3 linked regions of the Danio rerio genome follow. The protein of the gene in region 2 binds, or shares a complex with, the protein of the main gene of each other region. Links are inferred from orthologs where the notes say so. Each region holds a gene or a part of one and is shown on either strand. Other genes may lie near its edges.

Region 1 (4,295 bases), on a different chromosome or scaffold from region 2:
ATTGTTTGGTGTAATAGAAACATTTTTCATTCAGATCCGACAATAGCTTTTCACCTAACTGCAGCAGATGCCCGCTAGATGGAGACAGGGGAGCGTGAGAAGACCATCAACAACAGTGTCTTTAGATGGAAAACTACATTACCACATACACATGCTGCAGTCATCTATAGCAATACTCTATTGTTTTCTAATCACAGCCTACTACAGGACACATAGCGCATATATATATATATATATATATATATATATATATATATATATATATATATATATATATATATATATATATATATATATATATATATATATATATATATATATATATTCATTTAAAACTTTTTTAAAATATACCATAAATAAAACCACCATAAACAAATTTTGTTTTTTATTTCATTAATATTATTGTTTTATTGATGTGAAGCACTTTGCACAACTTTTTTTTAAATTAAATTTTTTTTTAATATTTCCCAAATAATGTTGAACAGATTGAGGAATTTTTCACAGTATGTCTGATAATATTTATTCTTCTGGAGAAAGTCTTATTTGTTTTATTTCGGCTAGAATAAAGGCAGTTTTCATTTTTTAAACACCATTTAAGGTCAATATTATTCGCCCCTTTAAGCTCTATTGTTTTGGATAGTCTCCAGAACAAACCATCGTTATACAATAACTTGCCTAATTACCCTAACCTGCCTAGTTACCCTAATTACCCTAGTGAAGCCTTTAAATGTCACTTTAGGCTGTATAGAAGTGTCTTGAAGAATATCTTGTCTAATTTATTATTTAATATTTACTGTCATCATGGCAAAGAGAAATACATCAGTGATTAGAGATGAGTTATTAACACTGTTATGATTAGAGATGTGTTGGAGAAATCTGCTCTCTGATAAACAGAAATTAGGGAAAAATAAACAGGGGCGAATAATTCTGACTTCAGCTGTTTATAAATAAATTGCACGCGTCACTTCTGCTCCCGTAGTTTCTGATCTAAGCAGAGGACCAGTCTCGAGTACGGGTGAATGACACCGTTGACAAGCCTCACTTCACTTCTCACTGTGTGTGTGCGCTGGATGGACGTGTTTGACGCTCACACTGGATGAAGCTCAGCTCAGCTTTAAAACAAGTTCAGCTTTTCAACATCGATTTATTCTGTGTCATTGAGCCACAGAAACCAGTCCTGTGTGGATATAGCTCTGGAATATAAGGCGGAGTTTACCTCCAGCCGGGAATCCCTGCAGCCGCGGCCGGACCAGAGCGCCTCATTCTCGGGCAGCGGAGAGCGCAGAGCAGCGGGAAACTCTGATTTACACAGCAGCACACACACAGGGGAGATTTCTGAAGCGATAAGAGTTCATGTTTTAGGATACCGAGAGACTGGGTTAGAGAGTAAGAGAGTCAGAGGGAGGGAGAGAGAGAGGGAGGAGGTCAGATATCTGCCCAATCCCCAAACACCGCTCAAAAGGAAAAAACAAGATCATTTGCAGGATATTCTCACAGGATGTGTAGAGGAGCAGAAGAAGAGGAGCAGATGCTGGAGTGGAGGAGATCAGGAGCAGCGCAGCACTGAGGTACACACACACACACACACACACACACACACACACACACACACACACACACACACACACACACACACACACACACACACACACACACACACACACACACACACACACACAGTATATATTGTATTTCCTATTGTCTAACTCTAACTGTACACCTAACAGGAAAGTTAATGGTAACACTTTATAATAACTACACACTATGAATTTATTAAGCATTTACAAATAGTGAATTCATTATCTGTTGAGCAGTAACTCTACATTAATAAAGGTTAGTAAGCATGTCATTATGTTATTAATAATTAATTTTGACTGAAGTAAGTATTACACTATTTACAAACCAATCATTTAAGAATAGATGGTGGTTTTTAAAGATAATTCAGAATGTGTCAGTAAAGGATTAATAAACTATTCAAATTACATTTATATATTATTATTATTATTATTATTAGTTATTTAGTATGTTTATAAATGTTTTATTAACTCAACTTTATCCAGTTTTGTGACTTAATCTATAGAGAACTATTTATGCTTTATAAATGACTTATAAATGATAATTAAAGGCTCAGTTATATTCTAAACAGGAAAAACAGAAAATAAATGACTTTTATTTAATTTATTATTTTTAAATTTTAATTTTAAGATACACCAGTAAAACTGCATCAAATGAAAAAGGAATCTTTGCAACCTTATCTAAAATAAAACCTCTGTACACTGTAATCTTCACTAAATAACATTAAAATGTTGCATCATAATATATTGTTAAGTTATTATATTGTTGTTGCTTTCTCTAATTTTTACATAAATTTTATTTTTTTGGTAATATTGCATGGAATATTGTTCATTCGATACTGAGCTTTTAATTGTCATTTATAAGGGATTCATAAAGCATTAATAGTCCTTAGATCAGGTCACAAAGCTGGATCAAGTTGACTTAATAAAACATTTATTAACATACTAATTAACTATTAATATATGCCTGAATAATAAAGTATTGAAATCAATGTTTATACATATTATTAATGATTAACTTATTTATTCTGAATGATCTTAAAAAACACAACTACTCTTAAATAACTGGTTTGTAAATGACACAATACTTAATTTAGTAATGAAAAATAAATCACTCACAAATCATGAACACAATGATGAAGCACGTTATAAATGTGTCAAGAGTACAGCATTTGCAGCTGCAGTTATAAACTGCTTACTAACCTTTATTAATGTAGAGCTAATGCTTAACAGATTATGAATTCACTATATGCTGATGACAAATGATTCATAGTGTGTAGTTATTATAAAGTGTTACCAAGTTAATATTTAATTTCTGAGGAAAAAAACTTGTTCTGTTTGATTAATAAGCCTTATGAAGAACAGACACATGAGGAAAGCTTTCCTCCTAAACCTGTCATACATACACGTGCCATTACAGAAGTGTGTGTGTGTGTGTGTGTGTGTGTGTGTGTGTGTGTGCTTATATGAAGAGTTCAGATGCAGGAAAGAGTATTTACAGTAAGAGTTAACTGTAGTACGAGTGTTAAATGTCAGTGCTGCCTGACATTTTCATGTAAACGTATCTTCTCTCTCAGCCTCCAGTGTTTATGTTCAGATATTTCACTGTAATGCAATAGAAATATCAATTCAATGGAAATTATTCACTAGAACTATGAAATTACTGAACATCATAGCGCTTGACTTTTTCCACATTGGTTTATGTTACAGCATTATTACAAAATGGATTAAATTCCTTGATTTCCTCAACATTCTACACACAATCCTCCATAATGACAATGTTAACAAAGACATTTTGAAATAGTTGCAAATTTATTAAAGATAAACACCTGATAAATCACCTGTGCATCAGTATTGACAGTGTTTGGCGTGAAGCTCTAAACTGAGCTCAGGTTCATTCTGTCTCCACTGGTCATTCTGGAGATGTCTCAGCAGCTTCATTGGGGTTCAGCTGTGCTCAATTCAGCTGATGGACAGGATCTGTAAAGGCTACACCTGTCTATATAAGGGCCCAGGGTTGACAGTGCATGACAAAGCACAAACCAAGCATGAAGACAAAGGAACTGTCTGTAGAGCTCAGAGACAGGATTGTCTGGAGGCACAAGGCTGGGGAAGGTGACAGAAACATTTCTGCTGCTCTGAAGCTCCAGTGAGCACAGCGGCCTCCATCATCCGAGCATCAGAAACTAAACTCTCTGCTCTGATGAGACTCAAACTGAACTGTTTGGAGTGAACGCCAGGCGTTACGTTTGGAGAACAGCAGGCGGCGCTCATCAGCAGGCTAACAGCATCCCTACAGTGAAGCATGGTGGTGTTGGCATCATGCTGTGGGGATGTGTTTCAGCAGCAGGAACTGGAAGACTAGTCAGGATAGAGGGAAAGATGAATGCAGCGATGTACAGAGACATCCTGAATGAAGACCTGCACAAGAGTGCTCTCCACCTCAGACTGGGGCGACGCTTCATCTTCCAGCAGGACAATGAGCCAAAGCACACCGCCAACATATCAATGGAGTGGCTTCACAATGACTCGGTGAATGTGCTCAAGTGGCCCAGCCAGAGCCCAGACCTAAATCCTATTGAACATCCCCGGAGAGATCTGAAAATGGCTGCACACCGTCACTTCCCATCCAACCTGATAGAGCCTGAGAGGAGCTGCAAAGAGGAACGGGCAAACAAAAGACTCGAGGCTGTAATCACTGCCAAAGGGGGATCAACATGT
Region 2 (3,482 bases):
GTACAGTAAACACAAGCCATAAAAGTTTAACTGATAATTTATTAAGTTATTTCTTCCATATATATATATATATATATATATATATATATATATATACACACACAGTTGAATTATTAGCACCCGTTTTTTTCCCTAATTTCTGTTTCACAGAGAGATTTTTTAACACATTTCTAAACATAATAGTTTTTATAACTCGTTTTTAATCACTGCTTTATTTTATCTTTGCCATGATGACATTAAATATTATTTTATCTGATGGTTTTCAAGACACTTCTATACAGCTTAAAGTGACATTTAAAGGCTTAACTAGGTTAATTAGGTTAACTAGGCAGGTTAGGGTAATTAGGCAAGTCATTGTATAACGATGGTTTGTTCTATAGACAATCAAAAAATATAGCTGGCTAAAAATGGCTTTTTAAAAAAATAAACTGCTTTTATTCTAGCCGAAATAAAACAAATAAGACTTTCTCCAGAAGAAAAAATTTCAGACATACTGTGAAAATTTCCTTGCTCTGTTAAACATCATTTGGGAAATATAAAAAAAGAAAGAAAAAAATTCAAAGGGGGCTAATAATTCTCACTTCAACTGTATGTTTAATCTTAATACTTAAACATAAAATCAGAACCTGAAATGTCTCAAATGTCTCAATTTGATTTATCTACTAAATAATACTATAAAAATACTAAATATAATAATAATACTAAATAAATTTGGCATCTTTATAGCAAACAATGAATACAATCACTTTAATGGCAACATGTAGTACAGTTTTATGACACAATAGATGTACAACAGGTAAAAAACAATCTATCATTACAAGTGTGATACAGTAGAGTCAAGTAAAATAAAAAGAACAAGTTGAAAAAAAGAATTAAAAAATCCCCTCAGAAAGTGCTGGGTCTCAAGCACCTCAGTGTGTTGTTCTCTTAACTTTGCTCATCAAGACCAAACGGAAATGATGCTTTCAGCAACACTTGCAGGTTTTCACAATCATATTTGACAACTGTTCCACCTGGGGGAAAATACATTGAGCTTTATTTAGATGGCATTTACTGAGAGCTGATGAAAGTGAGAAAATCCGTTCTGACCTTATGCTGTCTCCCCACATAGTAAATGATGGGCAGTGGGTCTAGAACCTGAGGTACACAGCAGGGCTGAGCAGAGGCACCAGGATTATGATGCCTATATAGTGCAAGAACCTGTAGGCAAAATTACATTAAAAAAAACAAAACTATCAGGCACGTTTTTTTTTTTTTTTTTTTTTTTTTTTTTTTTTTTTTTAAGTACATTGTGAAACATCCAACTCAATTTCATGATAATACAATATGTGCCTATCGTGAAATTTTTTGCAAAAATTTTTGCATGCTGTTTAAACGTTTGCATTAAAGTCCCACAAAATATTTCATTTTAACTTGTCAAATTAGCCTCTATATGCATGTAAGCAGAAACGGCATATTTAAATGCATATAAGCAACTGCTTTCGAAGCACATGGCATGGCTTTACATGCTATTCTGACACTCCAGAAACGACAAAACAAGCGAATAGGAAAGGAAGAGGTTACAGCTTCAGGACTGAACCCGGACATTTTTGAAAGAAAGCGGTTACATTTATAATATGTATTAATGGAAAAGCCTGTGTTTGTAGCTTACAGATTCAACTCATTGACTAGCATATTAATGCTCTGTTCTGATAGGTGTAAATGTGTAAAGCTAGATTAAGGGGTGTTAATATCCAGGGTGTGTGAAAAGTAACGAGGCAATATTTTATGGCAATGAACAGTTATTTTTCTGTAAGGTTGTAAAACAAAGCTTGTCAGTTACTAGGTTGTCCTGATTACATAGCACTTAAACAATGTCAGCTTTAAAGGTGTTTCTCCAACCAACAATCACAATAACAAATGACATGTCATATTTTAAAAAGAAAAAAAAAATAGCAAGACTTGTTTTCAGGTATCAAGCAGAATTTTGAAAAAGTTCTTTAAAAGGATCAAGCTCTCTGCATGACAAAAGCAACACTGTACCAGCTGAGCTACTGAGCAAGTTTTCTGGAAAAGCCATACATGTATACACTAAAAAATATATGGTCAATTAGTCCTGACTGCATATGTTGTAGATCACTGTAACTTATTAAACTAAGTTAATCATGTTCTAACTTAATTTTGTAAGATACGCAAGCTGTTTTAAGTCAGTTTAACATAATATAAGTTTAATTGACTTAATTGTTAATTTGATTCAGCTTAAAAATCTAAGTCCACCAGTATATTTTTCTACAGTGTAGGTATGTCCAGCCTGATCTCACAAGGAAATGTATCTATTTTACATTTTGTCAGTTTAGGGGTTAATTATTACAAATTCTTATGAGTTCAGTCGTATGAAAATGTACTATTTTAAAAAGAAGGCATGGCACCCAACCCCACCCCTAAACCCACCCGTCATTGGGGGATAAGCAAATTGTACTAAACTGTATGAATGAGATCATACAAATTCATACGAATTAACCACTAAATCAAAAAATTATGAATTGCCTTGAGATTGTGTTGATATGTTGTGCAAAAGTCAAAATGTATGAGCTTTTGAATCACACGTTATGGTAAAAGTAGCATACAGAACTGTGTTGAAGGGACTGTTGAAGGGTTACCTGTGAGTACTTATTTTCTGATGTCCAGACATAGGAGCAAGAGCCAGTGCAATAATTGGCATAGTAACCGGAAGGTTCATGAATCCACTTCCAGCCCAGGTCTTTGCGGAAGTCAATGTACAGACTCCTAACACAGCAACCCTCAGACTTTCTGTATTCAACACGCAGAAGACAGCAGTAAGGCTTCTGATGTAGCACACAAATACACAAATACAATACACAAATACAGTGAAGATCAAAATAACAAAACGATTTATTGACCTTTTTTTCACAGAAATAGCTATAACATGCTAATCAACCCATTCTGTGTCCACACCACATGCTGTTAGTAAAGGTTAGTCTAGGCATTTTATCCACAAATTTTTCTCTAATTTTGATTTCCACTAAAAATAGATAGATGCACTCACTGGCCACTTTATTAGGTACAAATGTCCAACTGCTCATTAACGCAAATCAGCCAATCGAAAAACATTGCCTAGTCTAATGAGTCTTGATTTCTGCTGCAACATTCAGATGGTAGGGTCAGAATTTGGCGTCAACAACATGAAAGCATGGATCCATCCTGCCTTGTTTCAACGGTTCAGGCTGCTGCTGGTGGTGTAATGATGTGGTGGATATTTTCTTGACACACTTTGGGGCAAGTACTACTATTTGAGCATGTGTCTGTCAACACCACAGACTGCCTGAGTATTGTTGCTGACCATGTCCATCCCTTTATGACCACAGTGTACCCATCTTCTGAGGGCTACTTCCAGCAGGAGAACGTGCCATGTCATAAAATGCAAATCCTCCCAGACTGGTTTCTTGAACATGACTATGAGTTCACTGTACTCAAATGGCCTC
Region 3 (4,302 bases), on a different chromosome or scaffold from region 2:
AATTTTAATAAATATTTAACAGTTTTTTTATTACATGTAATAAGTGCCGCCTTGATGAACAGAATCATTTTCTTTAAAAATCACATGAAAAAAACTGACCCCAAACTTTTGATCAGTAGTGTATATATACAAGAATATGTGTGTTTAAATTTAATGTTGTATATATTTTTTAATTATATATAATTTAATTATTTAAAATAGGATGGTGCTATTCCTTTTTGTATTATTTTTATAAAGTAATTGTAATGTATTTTTAAAAGGGGTATAGAAATATTATTATTTATTGATTCATTGATTTTAACCCAGATGTAATTAAGATTGAAAAAAAGCATTCAATTGATTTAAGTTAAGTGGTTGGAAACAATGTATATGGGCTGAATTTAAACACACAAATTAAGTTGAACATTGCTAAATTTAATTTGTATGTTTAAATTTAGTTTAAATTGCAACCACTTACCTTAAAAATGTAGCAAATGCAATTAATATTTTTTTCAGTGTAGTTTTAGTGGCTTAACCAGTACTTATTTAAGGGGATTTACACCTATTTAAATTTGAATACTAACAGTTCTTGACCCCAGTGAGCTACAAAAAAAAATTAGGTAAAATTATAATTATTAGGTGTAACAATTTATAATAGGAATGAAGACACTTTGAGCTTTATCTAGAATATTTTGTGCTAAAAATATGAAAAGTTATACATTGTAAAGTAATGAGAAAGAAATATTTGTTTTTCCATATACAGAGACATGAAATCAGTCATATAATAGCCTAGAAAAAATATTCCTTAAGGCCAAGTGTCTCATGAGTTTATATTTCAAATTTGATGAAGATAACATGCTGAAATAAGATTTCTGTAAAGTTTTCCGAGACTATATCGGTGTCCTCTCCCTCACCGTCAGAGGCACTTTCTTAAAAATGACCTTCCTAAATGAAACCAGTAACAATTATTTAGTTTACATTTACATTTCATGTATCTTTGGAAAGAAGATTTTGGGTTTTACAATGTTTAAAATGCTAAAAAAAAAATCATAAACAAATATATAATGGATGAAATTAGACCTGGAGCAATACAGAAAAGTAAAAGGTCAAAAGCCACACATCTCCTGAGTATATGTTTTGAATTTGATGGCAATCTCATGCAAAATTACATTTCTGGAATTGTTTTTCTGAGGCAACGTCCTGATGCTGGCTAAGAGGTTAAAGGTGATGTGTGTAAATTATTATACAGTAGATACACTAACATAATTTACTTACTCTTTAAATGACTTGGAATATCATAAACAGTCAAAGCTCGTCACGCCAGAAAATACCCCAAATCTGTAAACTGTCAATAGGTTTACGTAACTTTCTTATTTATGCTCCAGGCTGATATCCTCTCCGCTCATCTCTGTCTTTTTCCAGCACAGTTTTCCAGGAGCTTTAGTGGGAATATCGCAGTGTTTTTCCCCCTCTTGTTTCCATTCCCCTTTTCAAGATATGAGGAACTCCGCCAGAGAGGTTGCCATGGCGTCAGCGTCCACAACAGACAAAAACAGTGAAGATTCATCCAGAGCGGCACAGCGGGCACTGCAGAGACTCAATCAGCTGGAGACCCAACACTTCACTGTTTCTGCTCAGACTGTGCAGAAGGATGATCCCCTGTGAGTTCCTGGGTAAAAGCCAGACGGTGAGACTGTTTAACTGCCGCTTACGTCAGACTGTGTGCTCTATGTTATAAGAAAAAAATAGGCAAGATTACAGCACTACCAGAGCATTTTACCTCAACAGTCCATATCCGATCTGGAAACTAAAATAATAAGACTTTGGGCCTGTCCCAATACCCATATTGCACTCTTGGCCACTGGTTAGCATATAGTATACATGCAACAGGAAGTGCAAAGATAAATAAATAAATAAAGTATAGTGTTGCAAAAAAAAAAAAGGGGCAAAATGATTGGCTCCTTTGAGCATTATAATTTTTTTTTTATATATAATAAAAAAAAACATTTCGCTGTGTAGAACATATGCCAGAGTATTTGGGGGTTCATTCAGCTGCAGTGACCCCTGATAAATAAGGGACTTAGGCGAAGGAAAATTAATAGATAAATATTTCGAAGTAATGATTAACAGAGGCACGACACATTTTTTATAACTAATTCATAACTAATTTGTCTTTGCCGGGAACATTTTACTAGTTATTTTTGTAGTAAAGAAGCAAAAACTGAAATTTAAAAGCTTAGCTGCGTAAACTGTTTAACCACAGCAGGGCTAATGTCTGTAATTAACCTTTAATAATGCTAAAATCATTCATTCATTTTCTTTTCGGCTTAGTCTCTTTATTAATCTGGGGTCACCACAGCGAATGAACGGTCAACTTATTCAGCACATGTTTTACGCAGCGGATGTCTTTCCAGCTGCATCCATGCACACTCACACACATACACAATTTAGCTTACCCAAATCCCCCATAGCGTATGTCTTTGGACTCTGCACCACCGTGCAGCCCCATGCTAAAATTTAAATCTAAATGTTATGATAAACTTAACAAAACAAAATAGCATGGACAATGTAACAATAGAAGATTACAAAAGCCCATAACCAAATTAGGCTACTGAATCATGAAAAATTGTCAAATAAATAAAATAATTTGATTATATAAAAATAAGCACTATAGTTTAAATTAATAATAAATTCTAAAATGATAGTAAAATAACACAGACAGACAGATATAGGTAGATAGATTATGCAGTATAGGCAGTTCGCCAGAAACTTACTGTAAATTAATTACAGCAAAAACACTGTATTTACAGATAGATAGATAGATAGATAGATAGATAGATAGATAGATAGATAGATAGATAGATAGATAGATAGATAGATAGATAGATAGATAGATAGATAGATAGATAGATAGATAGATAGATAGATAGATGAAATTAATTGCAGAAAATGGTGGCAGCTGTACTTGTTTTTTTTTTCTGCTGGTGTGAGATCAATTTGTTACCTTTGAGAGAAGAATGTGTTTTCCAGCAGGTTGCGTTCAGTGAATCAGAGACATATGGGTGGCGCAGAGAAAGCCTGAATTATAGCTTCTTTCAAAGCCCTGTTTGTTTTCCTATGGAGCAGGATGGGCCATTACCTCATCCTTGTGTTTTAACTGAACACGAGTCACTGCTGCTCCGTGCGTGTGTGTGCATGTGTGTGTGTGTGTGTGTGTGTATGAGCACACATGTGTTCTGGTAGGGCATTCCTTTGGCTTTCAGCACATTACAGATGATCTCTGCAGAGATGTAATGGCCCAGTGGGAATGGGGTTTGGGAGGATGCTAATAAGTGAACTGATGAATGGAATGTTAAATCGAGTCCTCTGACATGTCGAATATTGGCTAAAGCCCGCTGACCGCTTCTATTGCCTGTGGTATGTAATAATAATAACCCACGCTCATCATGAGCACTGGTCTGTTCAGTGAGGCTCATTTTTTCTAAATTTTTTTTTTAAGGTAAGTCGTCGCAAACAATATATGAGCTTAAACAATTTAAACAAATAAATTAAGTTGAACTAATTTAAATTTAAAGCTAAATTTAAATTTACTAAATTTAATTTGTTTGTTTAAATTCAGCCTGTATTAATTGTTTGCATTGGCTACTTGATGAAATATCAGTATTATAAGTTTTGATGGTTTTAAATACAGTAGATGCTGTTTTCAGTCCTGTTTTGAAGTCTTTCTTGTCCAAGACAGCTAGTTCTTTTAGTAGACATCCCAGAGGAGTTCTAACAAACTCAATTCTGCTTATAGTCAGTAGTCTAATTATATTTTGTTGAAATGGCTTTTCTTGTAAGGCTTTTGTAACATTATTAACTGAATTAACTGAAGTATTGTACATGTTGTAATGGTTGGTAGGCCAACCAGCTATTGGATTAGTAACTATTAGTGAAAATATTTAAAGATTAATTGCTTATATAGCGTAATATTATATTGAAATATTTTGAATGTAATCTAAAAGTTATTCTGGTAACATTTTAGTTTCAGTGACAATTCCCACTATTAACTGGCTTGTTATTTGCCTGTTATTGTCACAATCACCAGCAATCTAATCCTGGCAGATCGTAAACACACAGTTAGATAAGGAACTACAAATCCGCCAGTACATGGACTACCAAATCCAGTCATGCACCACTCACACGCACCTGTTCCGGATTAGACAGTTAAACAGTTAGGAAAGCAATCGAATGCTTCAATTATAACATTGGATGTGTGCAGTTTTAAAGTGACACCTGTTATTTAATGTAATCAAATTAAAAAATCCAAATAATTGAGATTTA

What was found. Proteins that work in one complex are often made in the same cells at the same time.
Region 1: the proteins of tgfb1b (region 2) and lrrc32 are in contact, whole or in part, in a cryo-EM structure (PDB 8VSC), measured with the Homo sapiens proteins. The link is inferred for Danio rerio from reciprocal best matches to the Homo sapiens genes TGFB1 and LRRC32. Residues at the interface, in NP_000651.3 of Homo sapiens: Leu30, Ser31, Thr32, Cys33, Lys34, Pro325, Pro327, Tyr328, Ile329, Trp330, Ser331, Leu332, Thr334, Gln335, Tyr336, Val339, Leu342, His346, Ala353, Pro354; in NP_001122394.1 of Homo sapiens: Ser135, Tyr137, Glu158, Ser160, Thr162, Val184, Met186, Asp187, Ile188, Glu189, Asp190, Phe193, Leu202, Leu204, Arg206, Asn207, Ser208, Leu209, Thr210, Cys211, Ile212, Ser213, Asp214, Phe215, Ser216, Leu217, Leu223, Leu225, Cys227, Ser229.
Region 3: the proteins of tgfb1b (region 2) and tgfbr2b are in contact, whole or in part, in a cryo-EM structure (PDB 9FKP), measured with the Homo sapiens proteins. The link is inferred for Danio rerio from reciprocal best matches to the Homo sapiens genes TGFB1 and TGFBR2. Residues at the interface, in NP_000651.3 of Homo sapiens: Arg303, Lys309, Trp310, His312, Tyr368, Tyr369, Val370, Gly371, Arg372, Lys373; in NP_003233.4 of Homo sapiens: Phe47, Leu50, Phe53, Asp55, Ser72, Ile73, Thr74, Ser75, Ile76, Cys77, Glu78, Val100, Asp141, Glu142.

The regions. Positions count from the first base shown.
Region 1 is NC_133185.1:556,911-561,205, forward strand, and holds the start of lrrc32 (transforming growth factor beta activator LRRC32), read left to right. Parts: upstream 1-1,493; 5' UTR 1,494-1,568; intron 1,569-4,295.
Region 2 is NC_133196.1:23,078,441-23,081,922, reverse strand, and holds the end of tgfb1b (transforming growth factor beta-1 proprotein), read right to left. Parts: intron 2,791-3,482; coding exon 2,640-2,790; intron 1,201-2,639; coding exon 1,090-1,200; intron 1,014-1,089; coding exon 966-1,013; 3' UTR 503-965; downstream 1-502. UniProt on the Homo sapiens protein: Transforming growth factor beta-1 proprotein: Precursor of the Latency-associated peptide (LAP) and Transforming growth factor beta-1 (TGF-beta-1) chains, which constitute the regulatory and active subunit of TGF-beta-1, respectively.
Region 3 is NC_133191.1:44,030,609-44,034,910, reverse strand, and holds the start of tgfbr2b (TGF-beta receptor type-2), read left to right. Parts: upstream 1-1,500; 5' UTR 1,501-1,666; intron 1,667-4,302. UniProt on the Homo sapiens protein: Transmembrane serine/threonine kinase forming with the TGF-beta type I serine/threonine kinase receptor, TGFBR1, the non-promiscuous receptor for the TGF-beta cytokines TGFB1, TGFB2 and TGFB3.